7 linked regions of the Canis lupus familiaris genome follow. The protein of the gene in region 6 binds, or shares a complex with, the protein of the main gene of each other region. Links are inferred from orthologs where the notes say so. Each region holds a gene or a part of one and is shown on either strand. Other genes may lie near its edges. The genes, in order: MBIP, TADA2A, YEATS2, TAF6L, TADA2B, TADA3 and DR1.

Region 1 (4,202 bases), on a different chromosome or scaffold from region 6:
GTATTACATTAGTTCAAATACTGATGTTATGAGTTGTGATTCTAATAAAACAAAAAGATGAATCACTGTACAAAGAACCAGAAATCCAAAGTTACCCAAAAAAGGCAGTATACTTAATGAATACTGTATGACAAAAATTTACCACCTTTTCCATGAGACAAGAAACATTTAAAGTCTGTATCAGACAACTATAAAGAAATAAGAAATTTTGGATAGGCTACACTGGCAGAGATTAGATTATATTAACTAAAGTTTTACATTAAGATTACTGCATTAATCTTAGTTTATATTATTTAATTACTGTACTTCTACAGTCCTCTAAGAGATCTACAGTTCCTAACAAATTTATAAATAGAGTTTTGGGATAACACAGACAAATCCTCAACTAAAGTAAAGCATCAAATTTCCTAAAGAAAATAAACAAATAAAATAAATCTTAATGTTGGGATCATATTCTCCTTTCAATTCAGCATAATTATGTAAGCCTTTCAAGCACAATTAAAGACACTTGGTTTTTTTAAAGAAAACTACATAATGATACAAATTAACTTTAAAATTATCATAATATATCCAACTATTTATTCAACAAATTCCCTATTAGTAATACGAATTCGATGCATTTTTACCCTTTATAACTTGTAAACGTAAAGCATTCACTCAAAAATGTATTGGTGTGACATTAATATGGACTATTTAAGTAAGCATTTTCCATAAAAAATTAGTATGAAACTCCAAGCTAACAATAAATAATGCTTCAACTTGGTAGAATGAGCCATGCTGTGGCAAGCAATAAGGTTAAAATAAGTAAATTTGAAATCTGGGATACTTTTTAACATTCAATTTTATGTTTCCTATTGAGGAGAGCCAACAATATAATGATACTATGCAGAATGAAACTAGGCATATTGAAACTTACTTTTTTTTTTTTTGAAACTTACATTAAAAAAAATATCCTATAAACTTGTTGCAAAAGTACATAGTGATTTCCTCCAGGGGCAATTTTATAATATTGTGGCTTTCATTCTTCCCTTTAAACAATACATCTCAAAATATAAAGACTAATATCAAAATAGTATTTAATTGATGAGACAATGATTTAATTTTTTGACACCTGTATAGATGGTCCCTTCAATGTGTCATGTAAACTTTCCAAATATGTACTCTCAACATTTTTGACAGGTGACATAAGTAAACTTTAATCACAAAATACGCGAATGTTTAAAATCTGTAAATGAGTTTTAAAAATTCAGTATGCAAAAATATTTCAAAAGAAATGTTTAAATTATTTCTTAATGTTACTTTAAAAAATTTATCACCACTGAAAATAAAACTGTAAATTACAGGTAAGCATAAACTTTTTTCATCGTGACATTAAAATATAAATAAACCTTAAAATTCCAATATCCAAGACAGAAAACGTTCTCAGACTTTTAACCATTACAGGTCTTGGGTGATAAGACTAAAATGTTAATGTCCCCAAGTCTTTAAAAAATTTTAATAAGTTGGCGGCAAACAACTGAGCTCAACAGTTACAACTTTTAGCAGATTCTGTTAATAATTGTTCCGTTAGACCAAATTAAATGTTTAACTTAGAGTAATGCTTTTTCTAAGGACAAACATATTAGGATTTTTAAAAATACTGAAATAACCTTTTAAAAAATTAATTCTCCATCCACTCACGGCTTTTAAAAATAACTTTTTACAAACTAGACAGGTGTTGTTTTCATAAACATTATCCTCGACATAAATGTTTGCTGTGCCTACTACATGCACTAATACCAACCCCATAACAAACTTTTAGAGTAAAAAAATATTCCGTCTAAGATACAAAAGATTTCCTTTTTAAAAGCAAACAAACTTATTTTCAAGTTGTTTATCATTTGTAATATGCTTTGCATTTTATTTCATGAAACAGTTGACTTGATTGAATAGTGTAAGGAGTACTTTTATTTAAACCCAATTTATTATGACATTTCTGCAGAAGCTATTCATCAGTCAGTTAAATTAGCTAATAATTAAATGACAAACAGTTCTGATGCAAACTCTATCAATCATGGATAACTCATCGAATTTTATGCAAGAAGTATTTACATTAATTCCTTTCATTTTTCCTCCCCATATGAAAGGGTAAGAGATGCACATGTAACAACCAGAAGGAAAAAAAAAAAAAGAAAGAAAACCAAGTGACTCCTAAAAGCAAATCAACCCCCCCCCCCCCCCAAAAAAAAAGCGGAGAGAGCTTTGCCAAAACTCTCAGGCCGTTACTTCTATCAATTTCTATCACAAATTCACTGAAGGATAGGGGATGCTGAGCGCCAGGCACCCTCCAAACCCACAAAGCTTTTTACGCCTTCGCTCTCTCCAAGCATGTTCTTCTGGGAGCCAGGTTTTTCACTTACACTATCCTCTCACTCTTGGGGAGAATTGCCAGCCCGTACGGCCTTCCTCGCTCCGACCGCAGCTAGGCTCAGGCTCCTCCGCCGGCCTCAGTACTCAGTCCCGGTCCCCGGCAGCCCTAAGCAGCCCCCCGCCTCCGCTAGAGGAAAAAAGGGGGGAGGGGCCGGAGAGTTCCCAACCCCCTGCTCTGCTCCCACAGACCACCACTCACTTGTCCCACCAGGCTATGCAGTGAGCGAAAGATTTCGCGGAGCACCTCTTGGGAGAGATTGGGGCTGCAGCTCCGTTCCGGACTCCTGTCACCACTGCTCGAGAGGCTAAGCTCAACGGCAGCAGCCATGACACCTTCGCAGGCTACCCCCGCCACCACCGAGCTGTGCTCACAACACCCGCCCCCCTCGCCCGCCCGCTTGCGTCGCCGGTAAATGACGTAAAAACACAGCGTCTCGTCCGGCCCGGGCCTTCGAGGACCCTCGTGACTGACAAGCCGGTGCGCCAATCAGGTGCAGCTGGAGCGTCACGCCAAGGAGCCGGAGCGGGTAATTGCCGACCTGGCGGAGCTGCGTACGGAATTTGGGACGGTGATTGGGGCGGTGGTCTAGGGAACGTTAGCGTCTGAAGCCTGTCTTGTGTTTTTAGGTGTTGCTTATGAGTGTTGAAGAGGAGACTTAGACCTAAACGTCAGAATTTTAGAAGTTAAAATTTTAGCTTTTAACATGGCGCTGTGGAGTGGTCTGGACAAAGATTGCTGTTCGGGGGTGCAGCAGGGCCCACACCTCTACACCCTGGAAAACTCTTTCACGTACGCTTGTATTTAGAACATTTTCACTTCTGCAAAGTTTAAAAACTTACACAAATTAACGTGACTAATTTTTCATGTGAGGGAGCAGAGGCTATAAAAGAACAATAAAATGCTCTACTGTTCCTGCTGTACTATCAATGGAAGAAAGGACATTAATTACTTTAAATCTGCAAAATAATTATGTCAAGTTTTAAAACGTGCATCAGTTGCTATTCTCTGAGTGATACTGTAGAGACACTCACCTAAACCTTTCAAAGAAGTGAGACACTCAAAACGATTCTAACAGTTTAATTCAAATAAGTAATTGCATGCAGCACAATCTTTGAAATTAGAAAAAATAAATGCGAATTGAAATTTGACAGCGTATTACTCATCAGATAGATTTATTAAAAGATATTTGAAGTACTTTTATAGTCCAACATTTAAAAGCTTTATGTTCAATTGAAGAAAAGAACAAAGGTTAGAAGAATTTTAAATGTTAAGCTCTATTAAAAAACAAAACCCGTCAGTTCAGAGATTAGGGACAAGGTATTTAAAATTCTTAATTCTAATAGTCTAATGCATTTACAGTAGAGGAAGCAAAGGTAGAAACTTGCACAATATGTATTCTTCAGTTTTAGAGTAGGCTGAATGAAAAGGAGCAGAATAGGCATCAGAGAACTGGAATGGGGTCAGTAGGGATAAAAGAACGCCTTTGACCTGTCCCTAGGGAGCCTCTTAATTAGGCTTTCATTTCCAAAGATCACCAGGCTTGACAGGATCTTGAGAAATCTTGTCTGTTCCCTTGTTCACAGCAAGATATACAATTTATAATCCAGCCTATGTCTAGAAACATCCAGAAAAAGATTTCACAATATATAATCCCAAATTGAGCAGCCTTCTCATTCAAGGCACTCATCTCCATCTCTAATTTAAACTCATGATTCTTTGCAATGCTGTATATTTTCTTTGCCTCTGGTTCTCTTTTTAGAAGAGAATAATTATAACAGGGTAACTAGAAAAA
Region 2 (4,281 bases), on a different chromosome or scaffold from region 6:
TGCAACATACTCAATTCTACCACATTCTAGCTTTGCAATGCTAAGCAAATTATTTTGTTAAATTTTAAGGGTTTTTAAAAAAGATTTATTTTAGAAAGAGAGTACATGGAGGGGCAGAGGGAGAGAGAGAAAAATCTCAAGCAGATTCCCCACTAATCTCAGAGCCTGATGCAGGGCTCAATCCCATGACCCCAAGATCATGACCTGAACCAAAATCAAGAGTCAGACACTTAACCGACTTAGTCACTCAGGCGCCCCTATTTTGAGTTTTATTTAAGTAATCTCTGCATTCAATGTGGGGCTCAAACCCATGACCCCGAGAAATCAAGAGTCACACGCTCCTCTGACTGAGCCAGTAAGGTTCCCCAATTATTTTGTCTTTATAAGCCTGTATTCCCTCTGTAAAGCGGGTATGAGAAATAGTATCTACCTCCTAGAGTTACTGTGAGGATTAAATATCAAAATCCATATAAAAATGTACCGTGGTACCTGGCCCCTAGTAAGCCCTGCATAATGGCTACATATCTCTAATAAACAATTACTGTTTTTCTCTATCTAGTATCACTTCTCTCCTTAACCCTTCTTTCCTTTGGGAAACTGACTCACCCGCATTTCATATGGTCCTGGTGGGATTACCAATCACAATTCTGTATACCGCACCCCCACAGCTAAAGCAACCAGATCTCTTATGAAAATCCCAGTCTTGAGTAAGACGTACAAGGGCAGAAGGCAGTTGGATCCCAGTTATTCACTAATCAAAGAATTTGGTCCATGAGCTCTGGCTATTGAGATCCCCACCCCCAAGGGTGGCCCAACTGTTTAGAGTTTTTTCATTTACCCTTTTTTTTCTTTTTAAAGATTTTATTTATTTATTCATGAGAGATAGAGACATAGGTAGAGAGAGAAGCAAAGCAGGCACCATGCAGGGAGCCCAATGCCGGAGATGAACCCGAGTCTCCAGGATCAGGCCCTGGGCTGAAGGTGGTGCTAAACTGCTGAACCACCCAGGCTGCCCTGAACAAATATTTAATGTTTGTACAATATACAAAGTATTTTCTTAAAGGCAGAAATGAAATCCTACTTCACCCTAACTCAAGAAAACATCTCTCCTTCTTCTATAGTCCCACAGCTTCTCTTTTCTGGCATCACAGTCTACTTTGTGAAGATTACTTCTGAATGCATATTTTTTTCCCCATTTCTAGACTAAATGAAAGCAGGGACTACTGTCCAGCACATATCCATATGTATCAAAATGCCAGAGAAAGAACTCAAGAAATAAAATGTAATGGACAAATGTTAATTTTACAAAAGGTTAATTCATCTTTAATTCTCCTGGAATGACTTCTTTCATCTGGCGTGCTGAGCTGGGAGTATAATTCACCATTAAGTCTATATGCCATTCAGATAACATTGCTGTCAATGAACTTGTCTTTTTAAGTGGGCTGGGATAGGATGCCGTCCTCTAGTCCTAGGAAAAGTTAGTCTTTGAAGAAAAATGGGTTTAGCAAGGGGTATTATGCACTCGTTAATAAAATAATGGCCAAGGGCAGCCCCGGTGGCTCAGCGGTTTAGCGCCGCCTTCTGCCCAGGGCCTGACCCTGGAGACCCTGGATCGAGTCCCATGTCGGGCTCCCTGCGTGGAGCCTGCCCCCCCTCTCTGTGTGTGTGTGTCTCTCATCAATCAATAAATAAAATCTTAAAAAAAAAAAAAAAAGGCCAAGTGAACTTTACTCATGTGCCAGGTACTGTGGAACCACTCACTGTATGCGGATTATCTCTCTAAATCCTCACAACCAAAAAATAATAATTAATAAATAAATAAATCCTCACAACCTTCCGACATGCTGCTTTTTTTTTTTTTTTTGCTTTTTCAAATAAGGAAATGAAGCTCTGAAAGACAGGTACTTGCACAATGTCTTAAAGGTAGTAAACAGCAGCGACACTTCAACAGAGGTTAATACTAACGGTCAAGTAATGGATGTATAAATCCTTCATGTCATAAGCACAATATTGCAATAAGCAGAACTTTTTTTCCTCTCCTTTCTCACAAGAGACATTTCTGACACTAATATCCATGAAAGGATGGGTGGTAGCTCCAAATTAACATCTGCCAAATTCAAAGTCACTAGGAGGAGGAAGGGAGGCACCGCGAAGAACCGCCTTCGCTGTGGTGCAGGGGACAGACAGGTGCAAGGTCCGTAGTTTTGCAGACGAGGCTGAGCTCCTCACTTCGTTCCTTAAGCTGTATGATCTTGGGCAAGTCATTTTTCCTGAGCCTCAGTCGGCCTCAGCTCCAAAATGGAGCTGAACTACCCAGTGTTGCAAGGCCTACTTGAAAACTCGAAAAAGTAAACGTCGGTCAGGTGCAAGACACAGGGCGGCTGTTCCCGGCGTAATTAGGCGCGCCCCTGCAGACACAGCAATCCCGAGGCCGGGGCAGCGCAGGGCCGCCCAGGGGGCGGGGCGAGCCGGGGACGCCGAGGGGCGGGCCCCACGGGTCAGGCCGGGCCCGCGCCCCCCTCCCCCAGGCGTGGCGTGGCCCGGCGCCGCAAGCCCGTCCGCGGGCCCGCAGGCCGCGTTTCCCCTGGGGCCGCGAGGGCCCGCAGCCCGCCCCCTCCCCTCCCCCTCCGCCCCTTCGCCGTGCCCACCCCGCCCTCGGCCGCGAGAGGGGCTCGCGCACCGCCGCCACCCGGCCCGCAACGCCTCGTGCCTCACCTCACCGCGTCCCCTCCTCCGCGCCGAGGAGCCGCCACCCGCGCGCGCGCCCCCGGGGTGCGTGCTCGCTCCCGAGCGGCACAGGCGCGAGCGCGTCGCCGCCGCCCCTCCCCGGCCCTCGCGGCGCCGCCGCCGCCGCCGCCGCCGCCCCCTCGGCCCGCGCCCCGGCCTCGCCGCGCGCCAGCCGCGGTCCTGTGGCAGAGGCCCGGGGGTGCTGGGGCGGAGTGAGCCGCCTGCCTGACTGAGTCCGGGCGGCAGTCAGTTTTGCGTGAGGCGCGTTGGCGGTCGCCAGAGGCTTGCCGGTGCGTGGCGCCGTTCGATCCGCTTCAGAGTGCGGTGAGGTGGAGCGGGCCGGGCCGGTTCTGTCCTGCTTTTGTGTTTCTAACTTTCCCACCCCCAACCCTCTCTGCCGCCCCTGTTGCAGCGAAGGCAGCTGAGGCCACGCGGGTCTTGCCAGTGCTGCTCGTGGATTAACCAGACTGACTGACTGGTGTAAGGGTAAACAGGGTACGTTTTACTCAGATGCTTCTGGAACGTCGAAATTCTCCTCTTTGGAAAGAACCATCATCCCCTCTTTGGGCTTCAGGGGCCCAGATTGAGGCGCGATGATGACAGGATGTGGTGGTCCACTCTGATGTCAATCTTGAGGGTTAGGTACGTCCCAACGTCTCTTATTACTACTACTAACTATTATAATAGCTGCCATTTGTCGAGTATTTATTTCTTGCATGCCAGAAATTGTACAAAGGAGGTCACATCCTTGGTGTCATGTAATCTTCAAAAACGACCTTATGAGGCAGGCACTATTATTACCCCCATTTTCCAGGTGAAGACATTTAGACTGGCTTATAAGTAACTTGGGAACACACGGCTAGAAAGTGTTGGGGAAAAAAGAAAAAAAAAAAACGAAAGTGTTGGGGAGGGGATTCAAGCCGTGATAATCTTCACCATTATGCTGTTACACCTGTTTAGAAGTCTTTCATAAATGTGCCCAACCTCGCTTTGAATTCATTTGCATTTTCTGCTGGTATGGCCTCTTTATTCATCTTTCAGTATACGAATGCTACAGATTTGTGCTAAAAAATAATCAGAACATTCACACAAGTGAAAATAACGTGAAAGCCAGCTCTCACCGTTTTAAATAAACAGTTAACACTTTGGTATACTCTTCCAGACATTTTCCTGTGTATCATGTCAGTAGATACAATATAGTGTAGTTTTACATTCGATGTATCCTGAAAATCTATTTAGTCATTTAGCCAACAAATATTTAACGAGCGGACACTTTTCCAGGTGTTGAGAACTCAGCGGTGAACAAAACAGTCTCTGCCTCATATAATAGTGGGGGGAGATTGATAAGAAACAACATACATATTACTAAATAATAGATCATGCCCAGTAATGTGGCAAGTTTTATGGAAAAAAATAAATCAGAATAAAGGGATGAGTGATGTGGGCATGGTCCACTGCATGCCAGCCGGGGTCCTGTGGCAGAGGCCCCAGGAGTTATAGGGCGGACTGAGCAGCCTGCCTGACTTGAGTAGATGAGGTAGACAGGGAAGGCTT
Region 3 (4,199 bases), on a different chromosome or scaffold from region 6:
AAGGCAGGTACTCAACTGTTGAGCCACCCAGGCATCTGGGTTGTGTGTGATATATTAATAACCCTTCAATTCCCTTATTATGCAGAGCTTTGGAGTCAGTTCTTGGCCTTACTATTCATTTATTCAACAAATGTGTATTTTAAAAATATTTATTTATTTGAGAGGGAGCACGCACTGCACACATGTGCTTGTCTGAGGGGGAGGGGCAGAGGAAGATGAGGGTGGAGTGGGGGTGGGGGGGATGGAGAGAGAGAGAATCTCAAGCTGACTCTCTGATGAGCAGAGCCTGAGGAGGGTCTCTATCCCACCACCCTGAGATCAGGACCTTGGTAGAAACCAAGAGTTGGAGGCTCAACCGGCTGTGCTAGGCAGGTGCCCCTAACAAATACTTTTTCTTTTTATTTTTTTAAGATTTTATTTGACAGAGAGAGAGCATAAGCACAGGGAGTGGCAGGCAGAAGGAGGCAGAGGGAGAAGCAGGTTTCCTGCTGAGCAGGGAGTGGACTCCATCCCAGGACTCTGGGATCATGACCTGAGCCTAGGGCAGATGCTCAACCCACTGAGCCACCTAGGCACCCTTCAACAAATACTTTTTGCATGCATGCTAAATTCTTTAGAACAATTTATTAAATTTAAGTACATCCAAAAAATTGATGACATAAATAGTATAAAAAATTATAAGTGAACTCTCTCTAAACCTACTACTCAGCTCCAGGGGTAAATTTTTACACAGTGAGTTGAACAGATTGAAGGAAGACAGAGACAGATCCCTGGAGAGCTGCAGCAGTCTTGGGCAGAGAGATGATGAGGCCTCAGGCAGGATGTTACAGGAAGAAAGAAAGGGAAAGGTGGGCTCAAAAGATACTTAGGATTTGATGGATGGTCACTCACTAGTTGTATAAACTAGTGAAGTCCCAACCTTTCCGAGCCTCAATTTCTGCATCTGCATAATAGGTCAGTGATAACTATTGTTATCCGTATCCCTAGCACCTAACACAAAGCTTGGCACAAGATGATAAACACACACAAATCATTACTACTGTTTTAGACCTGTGGGAGGTTCATCTACGCTGGGAGAATGAATATCGGTCTGTCAGACCGGAGGCTGGAACTCGCCATCTTCTAGGGAGGAATATGATAAATGACGGTGCCTCTGCCAGAACGGGCATCCAGGCTCCCCAGGCAGTGCGGCAGCACCAGTCCCCATCAGAGTCCGGCCGCCGCCAACCCCAGCTCCAGCCCTGCGCGGGGCCCAGCCCCCGCGGGAGCCCCGGCCCCGCCCACATCCCTGCAAGCCCCGCCCCCGGGCCGCGCGCGCGCCGCCGCCGCCGCCGCGCACGCGCGCCTCGCCCCGCCCCTGGTGCTGACGTGCGAGGCCGAGAGGGACGGACGGGCGGGCTCCGCCGAGCCGTGTGCTTCCGCGGGCTCCGGGGTCGCTGGGGCCTCGTGGCGGGGCGGCTCCGCGGGGCTTCGCCCGCTCCCGCACCTCCCTCGTGCCCTCTCGCCGCGCCCGGCGGGCCCTGCGCTTCGGCCGGAGACCCGGGAGAGGGTGAGTGTTGGCGGGAGCGGGGTCGGGCCGGCCGGGCGCGCGCTCCGCTCTCCCGGGCATTGTCTGGGCGGGGGCGGCGCGGGCACGTGCGCTCCCCTCCCCCACCCTGCCCGCCGCGCGGCCCCGGCGGGCGGGGGAGGGGGAGGGAGCCGGCGACTGCGGGCCGCCGAGCACCGCGGGGAGCGGGCCGGGTGAGCGTGCCGGTCGGGGGCGTCTCCGGAGCGGGAGCCTGCAGCTGCGTGTGTGGGGTCCTTCCTCGGGGCTCAGCGCTCTCCGAGGGCGGCGGGGTCAGGGACCCCCGGGGCTGGAGCTCTCGGCCTGTTGGGCTCGGTGGCCTGCGGTGGAGACGGAGACGAGATTTGGCTCCAGCACCGGCAAGTTGTGGGTTTACCGACAGGCACCGCGGAGTCTGCTTCCAACCTGTCGCCATCCTTACGGTCCTCCCTCGCGAAGGATGAGTGGGATTTAGAAAGGTTGGAGGATTTTCCAGGCATACGCTCCAGTTAGAAGCACCAGAGGCGTGACACAGTGCGGGGTGACAGCGGAAAGCTTGGGAAAGTGAGGACTTGGAGGAAAGGCTGGTTTGGTGGGTTGTGGCCGGATTGCAAAAGACAATGAATGAGGTTTATATCATAACCTTGTCTTCTATCGTGAGTGTAATCAGGGTAAAGAATAGAAAGTAGAGGAGGAAAATATCACCAAATAACCCCACGGCCCTGACACCTCTTTCTTAGTGTTCTGGATGTGTTTGCTGGTATTTTCATCTGAGCTTGTAACAGTTGCAATTAGAGTTTACTTACAATTTTCCATTCTCTTTTCTCCTTATGGTGTTAAAACGAGATGTAATATACAGTATTCGGCAGTATCCTTTATTCTTAATAAGCAAATAGCAAGTATTCATCATAGAAAAATGAAGAAATATAGACAAGCAAAATGAGGAAGAGTATTCATAGTTCTGCTGCCTCGAGATATTGCGTATTTTTGGTTCTGTATATTCTTTCAAAGATAGTGGGGCAGATAATGCCCTGGTTAGGAATTTAGTTTTCATACGAATCCTTTGAAGGTTTTAAGAAGGCAGGTAGCATAATCTGACTGCTCTGTAGAGGAAGAGGGTGAATATGGGAGCGGGGAGATCAGTTAGGATGCTGTTTGCAGTACCTTGAACTAGGTCCGTGGCAGCGAGATGAAGAGTACAGAGATTTAAACATTATTTTGGTTGTAGAATGAACAAGACTTGTGAGTGGGTTAGTGGGAAAATAGGAGACTTCTTTACTTTTTTTTTTTTTAATGTGTTTTTAAGGATTTGTTTATTTGAGAGAGAAGGATTGCTTGAGTCCTAGAGAGCAGGAGGAGGGGGCAGGGGTGGGGAGGAGAGAGAGAGAGAGAATCTCCAGTAGACACTCTGCTGAGCGCGGAGCTGAAGTGGGGCTCTATCTTTTGGCCCTGAGATCATGACTTGAACTGTCAAGAGTCGAATGTTTAACATACTCGGTCACCCAAGCACCCTTTTATATATTTTTTAAAATTAAGTTAAACTCTCTTCCCATCCTGGGGCTTGAACTCAGGTCTCTGAGATCAAGAGTTGCATCCTCTACTTACTGAGCTAATCAGATGCCCCAAGAATTCTCTCTCTTTTTTTTTTTTTGGTAGTTGTTTTGAGCAGCTATGGGTAGATAGTGACATTTACTGAGAGGGAGAAGAATGGAAGAGAAACTTGAAGGGGGAAAAATCACGAGTTCTGTTTTGGGTATATTAAATGTGAGATGTATATCAGTTATGAAGTTGGTATATTGAGGAAATTGGATGTGCAGGTTTAGAGCTCATGGAAGAGAGAGCTAGGAGCTGTTAGATAAAACTTTGGAATTCATTACATAGATGATATTGAAAGGTATGGGACTGCATGAGATCACCAAGGGAAAGAATATAGATAGAGAAGTGAAAATTGACACTTGATCGCTAATACTTCGAGCTGCAGTATGGGAAGAAGATTGAACATAGAATGGAAGAAACAGCCAATGAGGTAGGGAAAAAAGGCAGAAGACCAAAAGGTGTCATGGAAGCCAGGAAAAATAAGTTCAGAGAGGATAGAGGATGTCCATCCCTGACTTTGAGATGTTTAGTGAGATGCTCAATTGGATTTGGAGGTTGTTGGTTTTGTTATTGGTATTATTATTTTTAAGATTAAAAAATTTTTAGTGATCTCTACACCCATCGTGGGGCTTGAACTTAAAACCTGGAGATCAAGAGTCTCATGTGCCACCAGCTGAACCAGCCAGGCACCTCTGGTCATTGTTATTATTATCCAGAGTTCTAGAAGTGGGAGATGGAAACGGGATTGGAATAATTAATTGATTGGGGCTTGAGGAAGGGAAGATAATGAGTGTGGATTAGAAAAACCTGGGCCTTTTTCGAGATGCCTTATTTCCATCTGCTCCCAAACTAAATTTGGTAGGTGAAAAATGGTGTCTTGTTTAATTTTTCATTCATTGATTACTAGAGTGTTTGAACATTTTTTTGTTTGTTTGTTTGAACATTTTTTAACATATATTTGCCATTGGTGATTTTCTGTATCCTGTGTATATCTTTTTGTGTTTATCACTTTTGGGAATTGATTATCAAGAGTCCTTTTAGATCTTGAAAACATGTAGTT
Region 4 (4,228 bases), on a different chromosome or scaffold from region 6:
TTGAGTCCCGTCGTGTCCCCCCCCCCCCCCCCCCCCCCCCCCCCCCCCCCGCTCTAGGCCTGGGAGGATCTTTTCTAGAAGCAGCAGCATCTAACCCTGAGAGGGAGGAAGGGTGAGGATGTGTACATTCATGCTTTCCCATGGGATACTCCTTTTTTTTTTTTTTTTTAAGATTTTATTTATTCATGAGAGACAGGGAGAGGTAGAGAGAGAGGCAGAGAGAGAAGCAGGCTCCATGCAGGGAGCCCCATGCGGGATTGGATCCAGGCATCCCAGGATCACGCCCTGAGCTGAAGGCAGACGCTCAACCCTCAACCGCTGAGCCACCCAGACGACCCGGGATACTCCCTTCTGTAATGAACAGCCCATTGCAAACCACCTCATCTTGGATGAACATAAAGGAATTAATTCACTGTCTGCCACGTGCTTTCACAGATATTATCTCATTTAATCTACAGTAATCCTGCGGGGTGGGTATTAGTACCATTTTGTAGTTGAGTGAAAATGTGGTTAGGTAATTTGCCCCAAAGCAGTGACAGAATTTGAACCCAGGTTGGTCTGACTCCAAATACTGTAACTTAACTCACTAAGCCCACTTGGTTCTTTTTTTTTTTTTTTTTTTTTTTAGCCCATTTGGTTCTTAATTGAGAACTAACTGCCCAAGTTCAGGAAAGTGTGCGCGTAAAATGGCCAAGGAAGTCTGCTAGTCAGGTGAGGGGCTTATAGTTGGCTTACTGAACAGGAGTGAGGATGCCAGGAGTGATGTGCCAGGATGAGCACAGCCCTGGAATCTGCAGCTTGCACATGAGCTTGGGGCAGTGAGAAGACCCTTCTGCCCGAAGAGAATACCTACTGGGAAAAGGAAGTGCAGGTGATGGAGAGGTAAGTTGAGCTCCACCAAGCGGGCAAAGAAAACCGATTTAGGCGCCAAAGTTTAAAGTTTCGCTGCAATTGCGTAAATGCAAATACTCGGAAACTCAGGAGCAGACAGGACCAAGAGAATGGGGACGCTTTCCTTGACAATACGCCTTTTTTTTTTTTTTTTTTTTAAGATTTTCTCTATTTATTCACGAGAGACATAGAGGCATGCAGGCAGAGGGAGAAGCAGGCTCCATGCAGGGAGCCCGATGTGGGACTCGATCCATGGACTCCAGGATCACACCCTGGGCGGAAAGCAGGGGCCAAACCGTTGAGCCGCCCAGGGATCCCCGACAATACGCTTTTGAAACATACACGAAACCATAGGTACGGACTCGAAAACCCCCAAGCGCTGTTGCTTTAAGAAGCCCGAGTCTTCAGTGTCACGTGACCCCTGGCGCCCAGATGCTTTTACAGCTCCTTCCAAGGACCAATCGCGTGGCGGGAAGCTCCCCGGGAGGGCGGGAACTTTGTAAGGCGCTCGCCGATTGGCTGTGCTCTTGGAAGGTGGGTCCTGGGCTCGGAGAGAGGGAATTAGGGTGAGCAGGGCGAGTGGGAGCAGCCGCCGCGGCGGCCGTCTCGGAAGCCTCCTTCGCCGCGCGGGAGCCCTGTGGTGAGCAGGTCCTCGCGGACCCGAACACTCCTCGCCGCCCTGCGGGCTGCGCACTCAGTGGTCTTAGGGCCGGCGCCGCGGGGGTCCGCCCCCTTCGCTGGCCACGTGACCCAAGTTCCGTAACCCCTGACCTCCTCCACCCCACTGCACCTCACCGCTCAAGTGGTAAGGATGAAGCGAGGCCCGGGGGTAGGATGCGCACCCTCGACGCGGGTGGCGGTCGGTGCCCACGCTCTTTACAGGGTGGCTCGTGGCTGCGGATGCAAAGAGGAGGCTGAGGAGGGGGGACCTTGGTCATTAAGACTTTGTGCGTCTTAATGTGGGCCCTAGTAAGGAAGCTCCCTCTGCGCTTTCCGCGTCGGCAGGACTATTTACTCGCATTTTACAGATGGGGAAGCAGAAACTTCGGGATTATCCATTGGCGGGTCTCCAGCGCCAAGTCTTCGGGCTGGGAATCCAGGCCTTGTTCCCCGGCACAGCCCGCCACTGCTGATGGTTAGGAACAAGAGTTGAGTCCCTGCTCCCTACTTAGTGCTTGCTGGATGATCTTGGACAAGTCATTGAGTATTTAAGCTCTCTGAGCTTTGATTTCCTTGGCTGTGAAATAGACATGGCATTTACATAATACGCATCTCATTGTTAATGAGGATAAAATGAAATATACGCCGTATAGAGCACTTAGCTCTGTGCCTTAGGCATAGCATGTGCTTAGAAAAAAAAAAAAAAAACACAGCTTTTTTTATTTGTTTTTGTAGCCAGTGTTTATTGAGGGCGTATTATGTGCTGACACCGTGCGGGACGCTGGGGATGCAAAGGTGAGCAAACAGGCATGATCCTAGCTGGTGTGGAGCTTACGGTCTAGTGGGAAGGTAGGTGTTAATCACAAAGCTATACAAATATGTAATTACAAATTGCGGGGGAAAAAAAATTGTGATCACTACTGTGAAGGCAAAGTATTGGGGCAGCGTGGAGGTTTGAGAAGACTTCCTGAGCAAGTAGTGTCATTTCAACTGAGATGTGAAGGAGCAACTAGGAGTCCACTAGACAGAACTGGGATGGAGGAGGAGGAGAGTGAAGAAGAGCAGTGTATGAACATCCTGATAGCAGGTGTTTTGGGGAAATGGAAAGAGGCCATGGTGGGAATGCAGAGCACAAGAGGGAAAGAAGGGTTGTAGAAGTAAGTGGACACACAGGACCTGGGAACCAGGTTTGTTCTTTTATTATTTTTTAAGATTTTATTATTTTTTCAAAGATTATTTATTTATTCATGAGAGACAGAAAGAGAGGCAGAGACATAGGTAGAGGGAGAAGCAGGCTCCATGCAGGGAACCTGATGTGGGACTTGATCCTGGGACTCCAGGATCACTCCCCGAGCTGAAGGCAGACACTCAACCGCTGAGCCACCCAGGTGTCCCACTTTTTTCTTTTTTTTAAGATTTTATTTATTTATTTATTCATGAGAGATACAGAGAGGCAAAGACATAGGCCAAGGGAGAAGCAGGCTCCCTTGCAGGGAGCCTGATGAGGGATTCGATCTCAAGACCGGAGGATCACAACCTGAACCAAACGTGTCCCTAGGTTTGTTCTTTATTTTTTATTTATTTATTTATTTTTTTAAAGATTTTATTTATTTATTCATGAGAGAGAGAGAGACAGAGACACAGGCAGAAGGAGAACCAGGCTCCCATGCAGGCAGCCTCACGTGGGACTCAATCCTGGGACTCCAGGATCACGCCCTGGGCTAAAGGCAGTGCTAAATCCCTGAGCCACCCGGGCTGCCCTAGGTTTGTTCTTTATTCCAAAACCAATGCAGAGCCACTGGGAGGAATTTTTTTGTTTAGCGATTTTTACTTATTGGAGAGAGCGAAGGAGAGAGAGAGAGAGAGCAAGTGAGCAAGCATGAGCTAGAGGAAGGGCACAGGGAGAGGGAGAAGCAGGATCCCAGCTGAACAGGGAGCCCAATGTGGGGCTTGATCCCAGGACCCTGAGATCATGACCTGGGCCCAAGGTGGATCCAAAGGCAGCTACGTAACTGACTGAGGCACCCAGGTGCCCCCCTTTGTTGCGTTCTTATTCTGCCATTTCCTGCGAGCGGAAGAGCAGGTTCCTGCTCTTAGGCCTTGCAGCCAAACTGGGAGATAGTCCAGCTCTAAAAGCCCGATAGTCCTCGGTGGCATATGGGCAGGAAGACCTTAAAGGACAGACTGGATTTGCCTTGCCAAAGAGGCTTGGAGGAAAGAGGGAGACAGACCAGCCAGAGCTGGTGGTGAGCATGGGGCAGGCCGGAGCACACTAGGCTGGGCTCACTGGGAGGAGGGATCCATTCACTTGAACAGCTGTGGGGATTTGGGACCAAACACAGAATTTCAAGCTGGGGAGTTTAGAGTTTCTTTTAGAATCAGTGGGGAAGGGATCCCTGGGTGGCTCAGTGGTTTAGCACCTGCCTTCGGCCCAGGGTGTGATCCTGGAGTCCCGGGTCCCATGTCAGGATCCCTGCGTGGAGCCTGCTTCTCTCTGTCTGTGTCTCTGCCTCTCTCTGTCTCTAATGAATAAATAAATAAAATCTTTTTTTTTATTTTTTTTATTTTTATTTATTTATGATAGTCACACACAGAGAGAGAGAGAGAGAGAGAGAGAGGCAGAGACATAGGCAGAAGGAGAAGCAGGCTCCATGCACCGGGAGCCCGACGTGGGATT
Region 5 (2,346 bases), on a different chromosome or scaffold from region 6:
AGGAGTCCGCTGAGTATGAGGCGGCCCGGCACAAGCGCGAGAAGAGGAAGGAGAACAAGAGCGCCGCCGGTGCCAAGAGGGGCAAGGAGGATGGCAAGGACGGTGAGTTTGCAGCCATCGAGAACCTGCCAGGCTTTGAGCTCCTGTCGGACCGCGAGAAGGTGCTCTGCAGCTCCTTGAACCTGAGCCCCGCGCGCTATGTCACCGTCAAGACCATCATTATCAAGGACCACCTCCAGAAGCGACAGGGGATCCCCTCCAAGAGCCGCCTCCCAAGCTATTTGGACAAAGTCCTAAAGAAAAGGATTTTAAACTTCCTCACAGAGAGTGGGTGGATATCCAGGGATGCGTCCTGAAAGTGTGGGTTTGTGGGCAGCCACCAGGCGCTCTGAGCCCAAGGGACCCGGGCGAGGGAGGGAACATGCTTCCCCCCACTGTTGCTCCTTTTTTAAACAAAGCGAGTTCCTTTCTTTTAGGCTATAAATTCTTTTCCTGGTTCTCTGAAAGAAGCAATAGTAACGATTTTATGTCGGATCATGGGGGAAGCCGACATATGTATGTTTTAACTTAGTCCAAAAGTCATACCTTAAGATGACGATTTGCCTTTACATGTTCAGTTTGGGGACTATTATGAGATTGGGTCATTTCGTGTCTTCCCTTTGGTACGCAACTCTTGGGCTGCGGGTAAAAGGGGCAGCTTTCCGCCGGCCCCGGTAGCCAGCTTGACCCTGTGACATGATCTTTGGCTGGCTGCCGGGGGCACCCCTGGGCCCCTCCCCCCCCCCCCCCCCCCCCCCGGACACCCCAGCACAGCCCCAGCACGCCGCACTTTAGGTGGGGGCCAGGGTGGGGCAGGTGGGAGGTGAGGCTGGAGAACCACAGGATGCACAGGATGTTTCCTTGGGAGCCTTAGAGGAAGAGTCAGGTTGAAGTGTCCACGTGAGCTTCCCCCTGACTCTTGGCATTGAGAAGCTGGAGCTTGTCCTTTGGAGCCCCAAACTGCCCCTTGCCTCCTTTGCAGGGGGTAGAGCCTGCAGGCTCACCTCAGGCAAGCACCCAGCCTCTGGGCAGGCTCCCTAGTATGTGGAAGGGGCTCCAGAACTCTGAGCCAGCTTTCCAGGGGGCTGCTGCTTGCTGCTCCTAATACTTACAGGACTAAGTACCCCACTTACTTGGGAGAACTCATTTTAGAAAGTGGAATGCTGAGTTCTGGAGTCCACTTCCTCCAGGATTTTCACTGTGGTTGCAATAACCTTTTTCACCGAAGCTCTAGCCTTCTCCCTGCAAGCCTGGCTGAGCGTTGTATTTCAGGGGGTGTGCAGTGCTCTCTGCAGCCCAGCCAGGCTGGACTGGGCTACCCCACAGCAGGCTCTGGCCAAGCAGGAAGGGAGCCTTCAGGGTGAGGCACTGTGTGTGGCTTCTCCGGTCTCGGTGTTGGATCCCTCAGCTTCCACTCCGCTTCCGCCCAGCCCTACTGTTTCTGCAGGGGCCCTCTTCTGTCGGGGGACACGGTACCTTCCTTCTAGAACTTGAGTCAGTTCTTTGCCTTCCTGCTGCTCAGGGTTGGTTCTCATGGTGAAGATCCCACTTTAGTTGGGGTGACTACAGACCCCCAGCACTCCCATTCTTCGGGGAGCTCATCCTGCAGCTCCTGCCCCATAGCGACCAAGAGACTGTTTACCTCCCAGAATGTTTGGGCTTGAAATTAAAGTGAAGTTATTTGAAAGACAAAAAGACCCTCATCATTTCCAAGGACTTAATTAAGGTGCCTTTTCCTTTCTTTTTACATCCTCCTGTCCCCCAGGGTAAATTTTTCAGCATTAAATAAAACATTTCAAATACCTTGTCTGTGGCTTTAGTTGTAAAGTATACTGCATGCTGGCAGGAAGTGTTCCTGGTTAGCTCAGCCCAGGAGTTTGACAGAAGAAACAGCGAGCAGAGGTAGGACTCCTGAGGCCCCTCCATGTGTCCCCCTGCAGGGTAGCTGCTGTCCCCAGAGTGCCGGTTGGGTCTGCCACTGAGTGGTGATGGCGACGGGACTTCGTTTTTACAGGGTCTTAGCCAGTGGTTCTCACTTGGGCTTCCTAGACCAGCAGCGTCTCTGCCCTGGGAACCCGCTCGCAAACCTTAGTGGGGGGCCTTTGAGCCGCTGGGATGCTGGCTGGTTGAGCAGCGCTAGCTGTAGCTCCTCCGGGGCTTGTCGCTCACCTATTTCCTCCATCAGGTTCCTGGTTTGGTGAGGTTCTCAATTTGGTATTTTATTATGAAATGGTTGCCCAACTTAAGCTTGAGAAGCACAAGGTCCCTGTAAACGAGTGGCCCAGGCTGACACAGGCTGTCCAATGG
Region 6 (4,111 bases):
CTTATCCTGCCAGTCAGTGAGGATCTGAAATTTACGAGAGACTATCGCTGAGAGGAAGAAGAGAAGTCATAGGACAAGTTTTTCTCCCAATGAAGAATTAGGATTTAGAACTTGACAAGACGCCAAGGTCTTTTTTATTTATCCATCCCCCTTTCATTTAGTAAACTCCTACTCACCCTTCAAAACTCAGTTCCTTTTCACAGGACTTCATTCATACACTTCTCATCATTCCATTTGTCTGGACTGATTCACCTCTATCACCTAAGCCAGTCACACAGTGTTTAGGTCAAACTAATGATCATGCCCCAGTGCATATCAGCGCTGGAATATGCTGGTGGTAACTTTTTGATGAATGCAAACAAGACTCCCAGTAAACCTTCACTTCAAATGTCACAACTGGGAAGCCTTCTCATCAGTTACCCAGCCTCTTACACGCTAAAATACAACTGAATTTGCCCTGCTCAAAAAGCTTCAGTGCACTCCCATGGACCACAAGATAACTATTCATCCTTTGAGGACCTATTAAAATGGCATCTTGGTCCCCTCTGAGTCTCTGACACTTTGTACCAGTAGAACTGTTGGCCTAAATGTGTTGTTTGATCATACTGGAACGAACAGCATACCTTGTCTTTGTAACTAGACTATAAGCTACTGGAGACCAGGACATTCATTTTAACTGCCTCTGTTCCCCAGGATCTGGCATAGCATCTGGCACACAGGGCTCAGGGAATGCTTATGTCGTAAACAGAAATATCAGAGTAGTATCGATAATTAGCATTTGAAATACTTAGTGTCAGATGTTGGGCTGAGGCTTTTGCAAAAAACAAAACAAAACAAAACAAAAACCTCTCTTTTAATCCTCACAGAAGCTCAGAGATAGCTCCTATTATTCATCCCAGTTTGCTGATAGGGAACCAATGCTCAGTGACAGGAGGCAACTTTCCCAAAGTCACATACGTAGAAAAAAGTAATACTAAGCAAGTGCTTAGGCCAGGATTCAAATCCAGGTCTTCTCAATCCAGTTTCCCTAGTACTTTTAACCATAACACAACATCACCTGGTATCTGTCTGCCCTCCCCCCGCCTTTGAGTTAGCAAACTCCCTAAAGGCCAGAAGTGTCCTCATTACCTCTCTCTAATGACTAGCAGAGGACCCAGAACATAACGGTGGGGTGCGGTGGGGTCAATAAATGCTTAGCAAATCAGAAATCTTGCAATTTATGAGGATCATGCACGTTCTTATATATTCTATGCATCACATGAGCGCAGTGTGGGTCTCTCCTTACCCCTCTCTCTAAGCTCCTGTATCCCGGGCCTCAGTGGGTAGGTGCTAACTCAATGATCTAACCCGTAACTTGTCACAGTCCACCCCTGGTGATAACCTCTCTGCAGAGTATCACCTGGGTTTCGGCCTCGAGAACCCGCAGGCGCCGGCTGGCAGAGGAAAGCAGGGTCTCAAGCTCCAGCTGCAGAGTGTCCAGCTCTTCAATGCCGATGCCATCATCCTCAGAGCGGGCTAGCACAGCCGTGTAGCGTGGACAGACCTTCAGGTGGTCCACAGACTTGAAGTCATGGAACTGCAAGGGGCAGTCCTTCAGTTCACTCATGGCCCAGGATACGGGACCCTGTGGAACTGGAGAGGAGAGAGCCATTGATAGGAGAGAAACTGGCACGAGAAAAGTCCAAGAGCTCCCTCCATCCAGGGACAGACTCCAGGAGAAAGCCAGGCTTCGGTACCTAACTACAAGATTGATGGCGCGGCTCCTACTCACAGGACACTCGCTGTACATCAAGCCAGGTACAGACACTTTACTGGCTTCTCACTGAATTCCTCACCCAACCCCATGAGCAGGGACAATGGCGACCTACACCTTACAGATACGAAAACTCAGACTCTGTAAGGGTGGGTACCTGCCCACGGTTACCAAGAGGCAATCTGAATCCAGATAGTTTTGAGTCTTTGCCCTGTCTTTCTGATGCTCTTCTGTCCTACTGCTCCCGGGTCTGGCTAAGCCTCTAAGCTCCAAACATCCCATTCTTACAATGCTAATGTTCTCTGTGCCTCCTCGCTTCTTCTCTCACCCCCTCCCGTCGTGGTCCCTTTTCTTGGCCGCTGACAGTGGTTAAGAATATGGGCTGGTAAGCCAGGCAGGCACAGCCTTTACCATTCTCTAGTTATGTAGCTCCAAACGTGTTATTTAGCCTTCCTGAGTCTCGGTTTTTCCATCTACAAAATGGGGACCAAAGAAATCTGGGTCTGTCTCCCCATAAGAAGTCTGAATCTGTAAAATGGGGATCACGATAGTACCTACCTCCCCGGGATGCTCTGAGGATTATGAAAGGATGCTTGTCAAGAGCCCAGTTCAGTGCCTGGCACAGAAGTGCGCCTGTTTAGTGGCTGGCCCCTCCTGCGGGTCGCCCCAGTGACTTGCCTTCGGGGCCCCCGTCCTCTGGGGACCCCCTAACGCGGCCCCCGCCCCCTCTACCTCCTCACTGCAGCCTCCTGCTGCCTCCTACGGCCCCCAGGCCACGGGAGGGGGCGGGGAGTTCCGGTTGGTGGAGCAACCGCCCCGGAACTGGCCAGGGGCGGGCCCCCCGCAGAGGACGCGGGGGTGGGCGACGCGGGCGGGAGCCCACTGCGGCGTGCGGGGAAGGGTGGGCAGGCCGCGGGCGAGCCTACTGCAGGTGGGGGAGGGCTCGGCCTCAGGCCCACTCTGGGGATCGGCCCGAGGCTGGGGGCGGGGCCCGGCAGCCAAGCCCTCCGCCCGGCAGCTCTTCCCGCGGAGCCCCGGGGGCTGCAGGTAGGAGGGGCCCAGAGCGAGGCTAGGGGCGCAGAACCGGAAGGAACGGAGGGCTCCTCCGCCTCGCCTTGTCCTAATATGGTGCCCAACCTGAGGCCGGGCCGCACCACTGCCCGACTACGGGGCACGACGAGAGGAGGGCCAGGGCCGCAAGCCAGAGCTGCGTGGATAACGGCATGAGCTCCCGCATCGATTCGAAAGTTCCGCAGTCTAAAGATGTGAAGACAGTCCTAGCGGGGAGACCTGCCAAGGACCGGGGGCTCCCAGGCTCCCCCTCCCCGCTCGGGCATAGTGGTCCCGTCCGGAAGTCCGGGCGCAGACCGAGGCTGCGCCCCTCGCGGAAGGGCAGGCGTCGCGGGCTGGCCACTTCCGCACTTCCGCTTTCCGGCCCAGCCAGCGCCCGCGATGGTGAGCGAGCCGGGCCCCGCGCCAGGGACCCCCGCTGTTTTGCCTCAAACGCTGTGGGTCTGGGGGCGAGGCGGCTTTGCAGCGGAGAGCCCCGGGGCCGAGGGCTGCTGCGGGGTGTGGGGGCATGATGAGGCTGGGAGGAGAGGGCGGGGCGGGAGCCCAAGTGAGGAAGGGGCGAGCGGGGGGCGCCCCGGGAGGACGCAGGCCTCGCAGGTTCGTGGTTTGTCTTTCGGGCCAGGTGGGGAACTGTGAGGCGTCGACAGGACGCCGGGAGTGGGGCCTGGGAGGTCGGCGGGAGAGCCTTGAAGGCACTCAGTAGGCTTCCTCGCCCGTAGTAGGGCCGGCGTAGCAAGGGCGCCTCACCCAGGGTAGAGCTTTGCTAAATACACTGTCCTGTCCTCTCCTGCCCGCTTGACCCCACAGTTTTCCAAAGGAAGCGTCTCCACTTCCTTATCCCACTCTTCGCTTACTTCCCTGCCTTGCTTCTGCTCCACGGAAGGATTATGCCGCCGCCACCCAGACCTCTTCCTGGTTAGAATTCCACCGTGTTAACCTTAACCATAGTACGAGAGCTCTGTCCTACGGATCCCTCCCTTCCTGGAAATCCTCGCAGCTGATACATGTCGGTCTTCCTGGGAGTCGAGGCTTTGGTTCCCCACCTTCCTCCTCACATTTTCCCTAGTGGTGCCTGTCCATTCCCGGCTTCCATGACCTTGTGTATTCTGGTGGTTCATGAGTCTGCCTTCCTAGCTCTCTTGTAGGGTTTGCCTGGATATCTTGAAGACACCTTCAGATCACACCTTCAGATCGAAAATCATTTTCTCTCAACCAGCTTTCCCCATGTTGCTTATCCTGGCTTTGTGGCATCTTACCTCAGCTAGCAGTCTGGATTTTATTTTATTT
Region 7 (4,148 bases), on a different chromosome or scaffold from region 6:
CCAGCAGCCAACGTTCAACACACCATGAAAAGGGGCTAAGCGGGAACCTCTTTAGCGTGGCTCACTGTCCGCTCTACTACATGGGATCTTACTTCTAGTTTCTGGCTTGGTTATTAGCAAGTCACTTCTCTGAAGGTTTCATTTCCCATAAAACAAGAAAATGGGTAAAGGCCCATAAAGAGCTTTGATCCGAACAACGTCTGTTAGGTGTCATCACAAAAGCGTTTCCTCCTGGCGATGTAGACGGGCACACGACGTTCTGCTTTCCCGACATCTCGTTCCCGAGCCCGGGCCTCCTTCTCTCAGCCCCAATTTGGGCTCCTAAAAGGAGATGAAATCCGGCGCTCCCTCCTCAAACAAGGCTGGGGGAGAGCTTCGAGGCCACAGCTGGTTAAGGGGCGGCGGAGGGGACCCACCCTCGCCCCCTCCCAAGCCGGGCGCGGCAGCCCGAGGGCCGGCGCGTGGCGGGCCGGCGCGTGCCGAGGGGCTCCCAGGTACCAGCGCGCGCTCGCCCCGCTCCGCTCCCCGCGAAGGGGCAGGGTCCCCGGGCGCGTGCAGAGACGACGGCAGGCGGAAGCCGCAGGCGGGGAGGCCGGACCGTTCCCGCCGCGGGCGGGTGGGGGAAGGGCTGCAGCCACACCCGGAAGTCGGTCTGCGAGGGAGAGGGGGGGCCGGAGGGGGGGTGAGGCTTCCGGTAGCGCAAAGGGTGTCGGGAGAGGCTTCCAGCAAACCTTCTTCCTTGGCCTCTGGAGGGACCACCGTTGCCGCGGCTTCGGCTTCCACGATCTGCGTTCGGGCTAAACGGCCACGGCGGCCGCTACTGTCGCTCCCCTGGTGCCCGGCTCTGTCCGTACTCGTTCCCGGGCGGCCGCCACGGCTCCCGCAGCGGCTGCGGCCGACATGTTGTGAGGCGGCGGCGCGGGTGTCTGAAGGATGGTTTGGCTGAGGCGGCGGCAGCGGCTGCTGGCGGCGGCGGCAGCTGGGGCTCCGGCTCTGTAGCGCCCAGCCCGCTGGGTGGCTGCCCGGTACCGCGGTGAGGCCAGTGCCCCGGACCTTGCCTCTCCTCAGGCGCGGTTGGGGACCGGTTAGGCGACAGCGCCCGCTCCTCGGAGGAGACACGAAGGTGGTTCCCCAGTGCTCACATTTCCGGACCACCTTGGCTTTCTCTCCGACCTGGACAGCGCTGCCCCGACCATCCTCAGCACCCCGACCTCCTTCCCGGTCTCGCCCTAAAAAATCTCTCACACGGGTGTTCCCCACCCTCACGAACCGGCTCCTCCCTACCCCCCACCCCCACCCCCACCCCCCTTCATTCTCCGCGCTCCTGGGATCACACTTTTGAGGGCAGCCTTTTGAAAATTCTTCGCGGAATAGTGGACTAGAGCTGGGGAGTTTTTAAAAGTCGGGGCGCGCGCGAGAGGGAGCTACGATGGCTTCCTCGTCCGGCAACGATGATGATCTCACTATACCTAGAGCTGCTATCAATAAGATGATCAAAGAGACTCTCCCCAACGTCCGGGTGGCCAACGATGCCCGGGAGCTGGTGGTGAACTGCTGCACTGAATTCATTCACCTTATATCTTCTGAAGCTAATGAGATTTGCAACAAGTCGGAAAAGAAGACCATCTCACCTGAGCATGTCATACAAGGTAAGTGGTACGTGTGGGGGTTTTGTTTAAGCGAGGGTCGGGGACAGCCCGCGAGTTGCGGGACCCATTCACGTCAAAGCCTTCATTCCTCTCCCCTACATAAGTACTGGCAGACGAAAAAGCCACGCGGGCATGGAAGCAGCCGATGCCTTGAGAAACTCCTGGGTAGTATTCTCGTGGTGGTGCTTTTCATCCAGCGAATACACGTAAGGATGGCAAGCGTTTAGGTCAGCCAACATCCTCCAGGGATAAAGTATTAATTGTCTCGGTTGACGGCCAGGTAAGCCGAAGCAACAAGAATTTTGCCTGCATGCCTGCCTAAAGTGGAACCTAGACGTGACGACTGAGAAATTGTCTGCCTAAAGTGGAACCTTCGATCACAACAACTGAGAAAGGAACACAGAGAGTTATCCCTTGGAAAAGGAAAAATCACACGGGAACTTCCAAGGATGAGTGGAGACAGCACCCCTTCCCCATGCGGTCTTTTCAGCAATGTAGAAGAAAAGATGAATTTTCTGAACACACGAGTAAAAGAATTCTTAACATAAATGTGTTCAACGTTGTAAAGTTTGGTGATGTTGAATAAAGACAGTATGTTTTCTGCTTTAAAAATGGTTTAGTGGTCCTACCATGTTAACCAGTCTTCTTTCCTCTTTCCTTCTTTTTTCACTTTCTTTCGTAGTTTTTTTCTTTTGTGTAGCTTGCTTTGCTCTATGGAGATAAATTTTTAAAGCTTGGATTGAAAGGTTGTAAAAGATATTTTTCATGGAACATTTCTCTGTCCTTTCTTGCTGCCTTTCCCATTTAGCTGTATACACTTAAGCTTTTATTGAACAGCATTTTTGGAAGTTTCAACCCTTTCTTATCTTGGAAAGGATTTAGTCCAATAGTAAGGACGTGGGGGACCACATTCTGATGGTTTGTTTCAGGCTAGGGAGACATATTTACTAGTCATAATGTTTTGAGAGCACATATGCTCTTATGGGAAAGTTGCATTCAATTTGAGGCGGTAATTTGCCTTTTATAATAATTCAATTAAAATCTAAAAATTTTTTGATTGCTTTTGAAGTCAGAAAAAATGATTAATTTTAATCATATTAGTGGGCATTTATTTTTTATAATTTTTAAATTTATAATTATTCTTAAATTTATAATTTAACTTTTTAGAGGTGACTTTCCTGTTATTCTGAAGTAGAGAACACATCTGCTCGTATTTACCATCTCCAATATTTTACTATCAGTATTGACAAAAGAAATGATTCATTTTTGGTCCTTAATGATGTGTGGAAGATAGATTTAAGTATACTCTGCCATTTCCATTCCTGTACATGAGGAGAAAAAAAAAATCTCTAGGAAAAACCATGTTTGATTTTAAAGCCAGTGTTTTCTACTTGTTTGGTGTGCTGAACACTCTGGCAAGTACAATGAAAGTCAAGTTCTCTATTTTTTGTTTCGTGTTTTATTTTTACATTGTGTGTACTATTGTCATAAGTCTTTCATAAGGTTATCCAACACAGATAGCTGTAATTTCCTCTTACAACTCGTAAAAAAGAAAAAATCTTTTATCAACATTGCCTTTCTAATGAAAATTGCACAAGATTTCTAAAGGATGTGCTTAAACATTTGTTTACAACACAGAAGTGGGGATTATTCCAAAAATCTAATAACACATTACGGTCTGTCTTCTTGGGTAGTTTATTCTTTTCTGGGATATATTTAGATTTCTGATTGACATGATGGAATAAAAGTGCAGCTGTAGTGAGCAGTATGCTAACTAGCTCAACTTTGGAATATGCTAAATTCAGTTTAAGATGTGAGTCAGAAAGTTCCAGTGAAAGCATTTTCATTTTCCTTTGTGTACTGGGGATGATTGATTAATTTTCTTAAAAAATCATCCATTGACCTGTTTTAGTCTTATAAATTTACCCTTTTTTTTTTTTTTTTTTTTTTTGGTAACATTGCTGTTAAGTAGAAAAGGACCTACCATTTTTGCCCCAAATTCTTCTCCAGTTAGGGGAATAAAATTTATACATTTATAATCTTATGTTAATCTCACATTGCGTAATCATTTTAAAGAATTTTTGTCTTGAGTGGTTACATTTTTAAAAAATGTATATATATTTTTAAAAAGTGTTAAAAATGTATTTTACAGATTAACCCTGGAAAGCTTGCAAAAACATGGAAGTTACAACATTTTTTATGCTTTTTGTAAGCATTAATTATTTTGGTATGTAGGATGTATCCAAATGGAATAATTAGTACATTTAAAGTTGTATGAGGGATCCCTGGATGGCGCAGCAGTTTGGCGCCTGCCTTTGGCCCAGGGCGCGATCCGGGAGACCCTGGATCGAATCCCACGTCGGGCTCCCAGTGCATGGAGCCTGCTTCTCCCTCTGCCTGTGTCTCTGCCTCTCCCTCTCTCTGTGTGACTATCATAAATAAATAAAAATTAAAAAAAAAAAAAAGAAACCTGGATGGGTTATCTTAAAAAAAAATTAA

Evidence for each region.
Region 1: TADA3 (region 6) and MBIP share a complex: the UniProt entries of both Homo sapiens proteins name them as parts of the ADA2A-containing complex. The link is inferred for Canis lupus familiaris from reciprocal best matches to the Homo sapiens genes TADA3 and MBIP.
Region 2: TADA3 (region 6) and TADA2A share a complex: the UniProt entries of both Homo sapiens proteins name them as parts of the ADA2A-containing complex. The link is inferred for Canis lupus familiaris from reciprocal best matches to the Homo sapiens genes TADA3 and TADA2A.
Region 3: TADA3 (region 6) and YEATS2 share a complex: the UniProt entries of both Homo sapiens proteins name them as parts of the ADA2A-containing complex. The link is inferred for Canis lupus familiaris from reciprocal best matches to the Homo sapiens genes TADA3 and YEATS2.
Region 4: TADA3 (region 6) and TAF6L share a complex: the UniProt entries of both Homo sapiens proteins name them as parts of the STAGA transcription coactivator-HAT complex. The link is inferred for Canis lupus familiaris from reciprocal best matches to the Homo sapiens genes TADA3 and TAF6L.
Region 5: TADA3 (region 6) and TADA2B share a complex: the UniProt entries of both Homo sapiens proteins name them as parts of the TFTC-HAT complex. The link is inferred for Canis lupus familiaris from reciprocal best matches to the Homo sapiens genes TADA3 and TADA2B.
Region 7: TADA3 (region 6) and DR1 share a complex: the UniProt entries of both Homo sapiens proteins name them as parts of the ADA2A-containing complex. The link is inferred for Canis lupus familiaris from reciprocal best matches to the Homo sapiens genes TADA3 and DR1.

Annotation. Positions count from the first base shown.
Region 1 is NC_049229.1:15,070,287-15,074,488, forward strand, and holds the start of MBIP (MAP3K12-binding inhibitory protein 1), read right to left. Parts: upstream 2,801-4,202; 5' UTR 2,738-2,800; coding exon 2,609-2,737; intron 1-2,608. UniProt on the Homo sapiens protein: Inhibits the MAP3K12 activity to induce the activation of the JNK/SAPK pathway. Component of the ATAC complex, a complex with histone acetyltransferase activity on histones H3 and H4.
Region 2 is NC_049230.1:37,152,784-37,157,064, reverse strand, and holds the start of TADA2A (transcriptional adapter 2-alpha), read right to left. Parts: upstream 2,801-4,281; 5' UTR 2,716-2,800; intron 1-2,715. Other genes in the region: ACACA (acetyl-CoA carboxylase 1), read left to right, coding at 3,332-3,369. UniProt on the Homo sapiens protein: Component of the ATAC complex, a complex with histone acetyltransferase activity on histones H3 and H4. Required for the function of some acidic activation domains, which activate transcription from a distant site. Binds double-stranded DNA.
Region 3 is NC_049255.1:16,824,624-16,828,822, forward strand, and holds the start of YEATS2 (YEATS domain-containing protein 2), read left to right. Parts: upstream 1-1,399; 5' UTR 1,400-1,549; intron 1,550-4,199. UniProt on the Homo sapiens protein: Chromatin reader component of the ATAC complex, a complex with histone acetyltransferase activity on histones H3 and H4. YEATS2 specifically recognizes and binds histone H3 crotonylated at 'Lys-27' (H3K27cr).
Region 4 is NC_049239.1:54,427,953-54,432,180, reverse strand, and holds the start of TAF6L (TAF6-like RNA polymerase II p300/CBP-associated factor-associated factor 65 kDa subunit 6L), read left to right. Parts: upstream 1-1,428; 5' UTR 1,429-1,696; intron 1,697-1,919; 5' UTR 1,920-2,039; intron 2,040-2,286; 5' UTR 2,287-2,338; coding exon 2,339-2,346; exon of another isoform or gene 2,347-2,400; intron 2,401-4,228. UniProt on the Homo sapiens protein: Functions as a component of the PCAF complex. The PCAF complex is capable of efficiently acetylating histones in a nucleosomal context. The PCAF complex could be considered as the human version of the yeast SAGA complex.
Region 5 is NC_049224.1:59,645,413-59,647,758, forward strand, and holds the end of TADA2B (transcriptional adapter 2-beta), read left to right. Parts: coding exon 1-356; 3' UTR 357-1,846; downstream 1,847-2,346. UniProt on the Homo sapiens protein: Coactivates PAX5-dependent transcription together with either SMARCA4 or GCN5L2.
Region 6 is NC_049241.1:8,521,967-8,526,077, reverse strand, and holds the start of TADA3 (transcriptional adapter 3), read right to left. Parts: upstream 2,801-4,111; 5' UTR 2,312-2,800; intron 1,633-2,311; 5' UTR 1,607-1,632; coding exon 1,400-1,606; intron 25-1,399; coding exon 1-24. Other genes in the region: ARPC4 (actin-related protein 2/3 complex subunit 4), read left to right, coding at 3,206-3,208. UniProt on the Homo sapiens protein: Functions as a component of the PCAF complex. The PCAF complex is capable of efficiently acetylating histones in a nucleosomal context. The PCAF complex could be considered as the human version of the yeast SAGA complex.
Region 7 is NC_049227.1:56,206,242-56,210,389, reverse strand, and holds the start of DR1 (protein Dr1), read left to right. Parts: upstream 1-1,348; 5' UTR 1,349-1,429; coding exon 1,430-1,649; intron 1,650-4,148. UniProt on the Homo sapiens protein: The association of the DR1/DRAP1 heterodimer with TBP results in a functional repression of both activated and basal transcription of class II genes.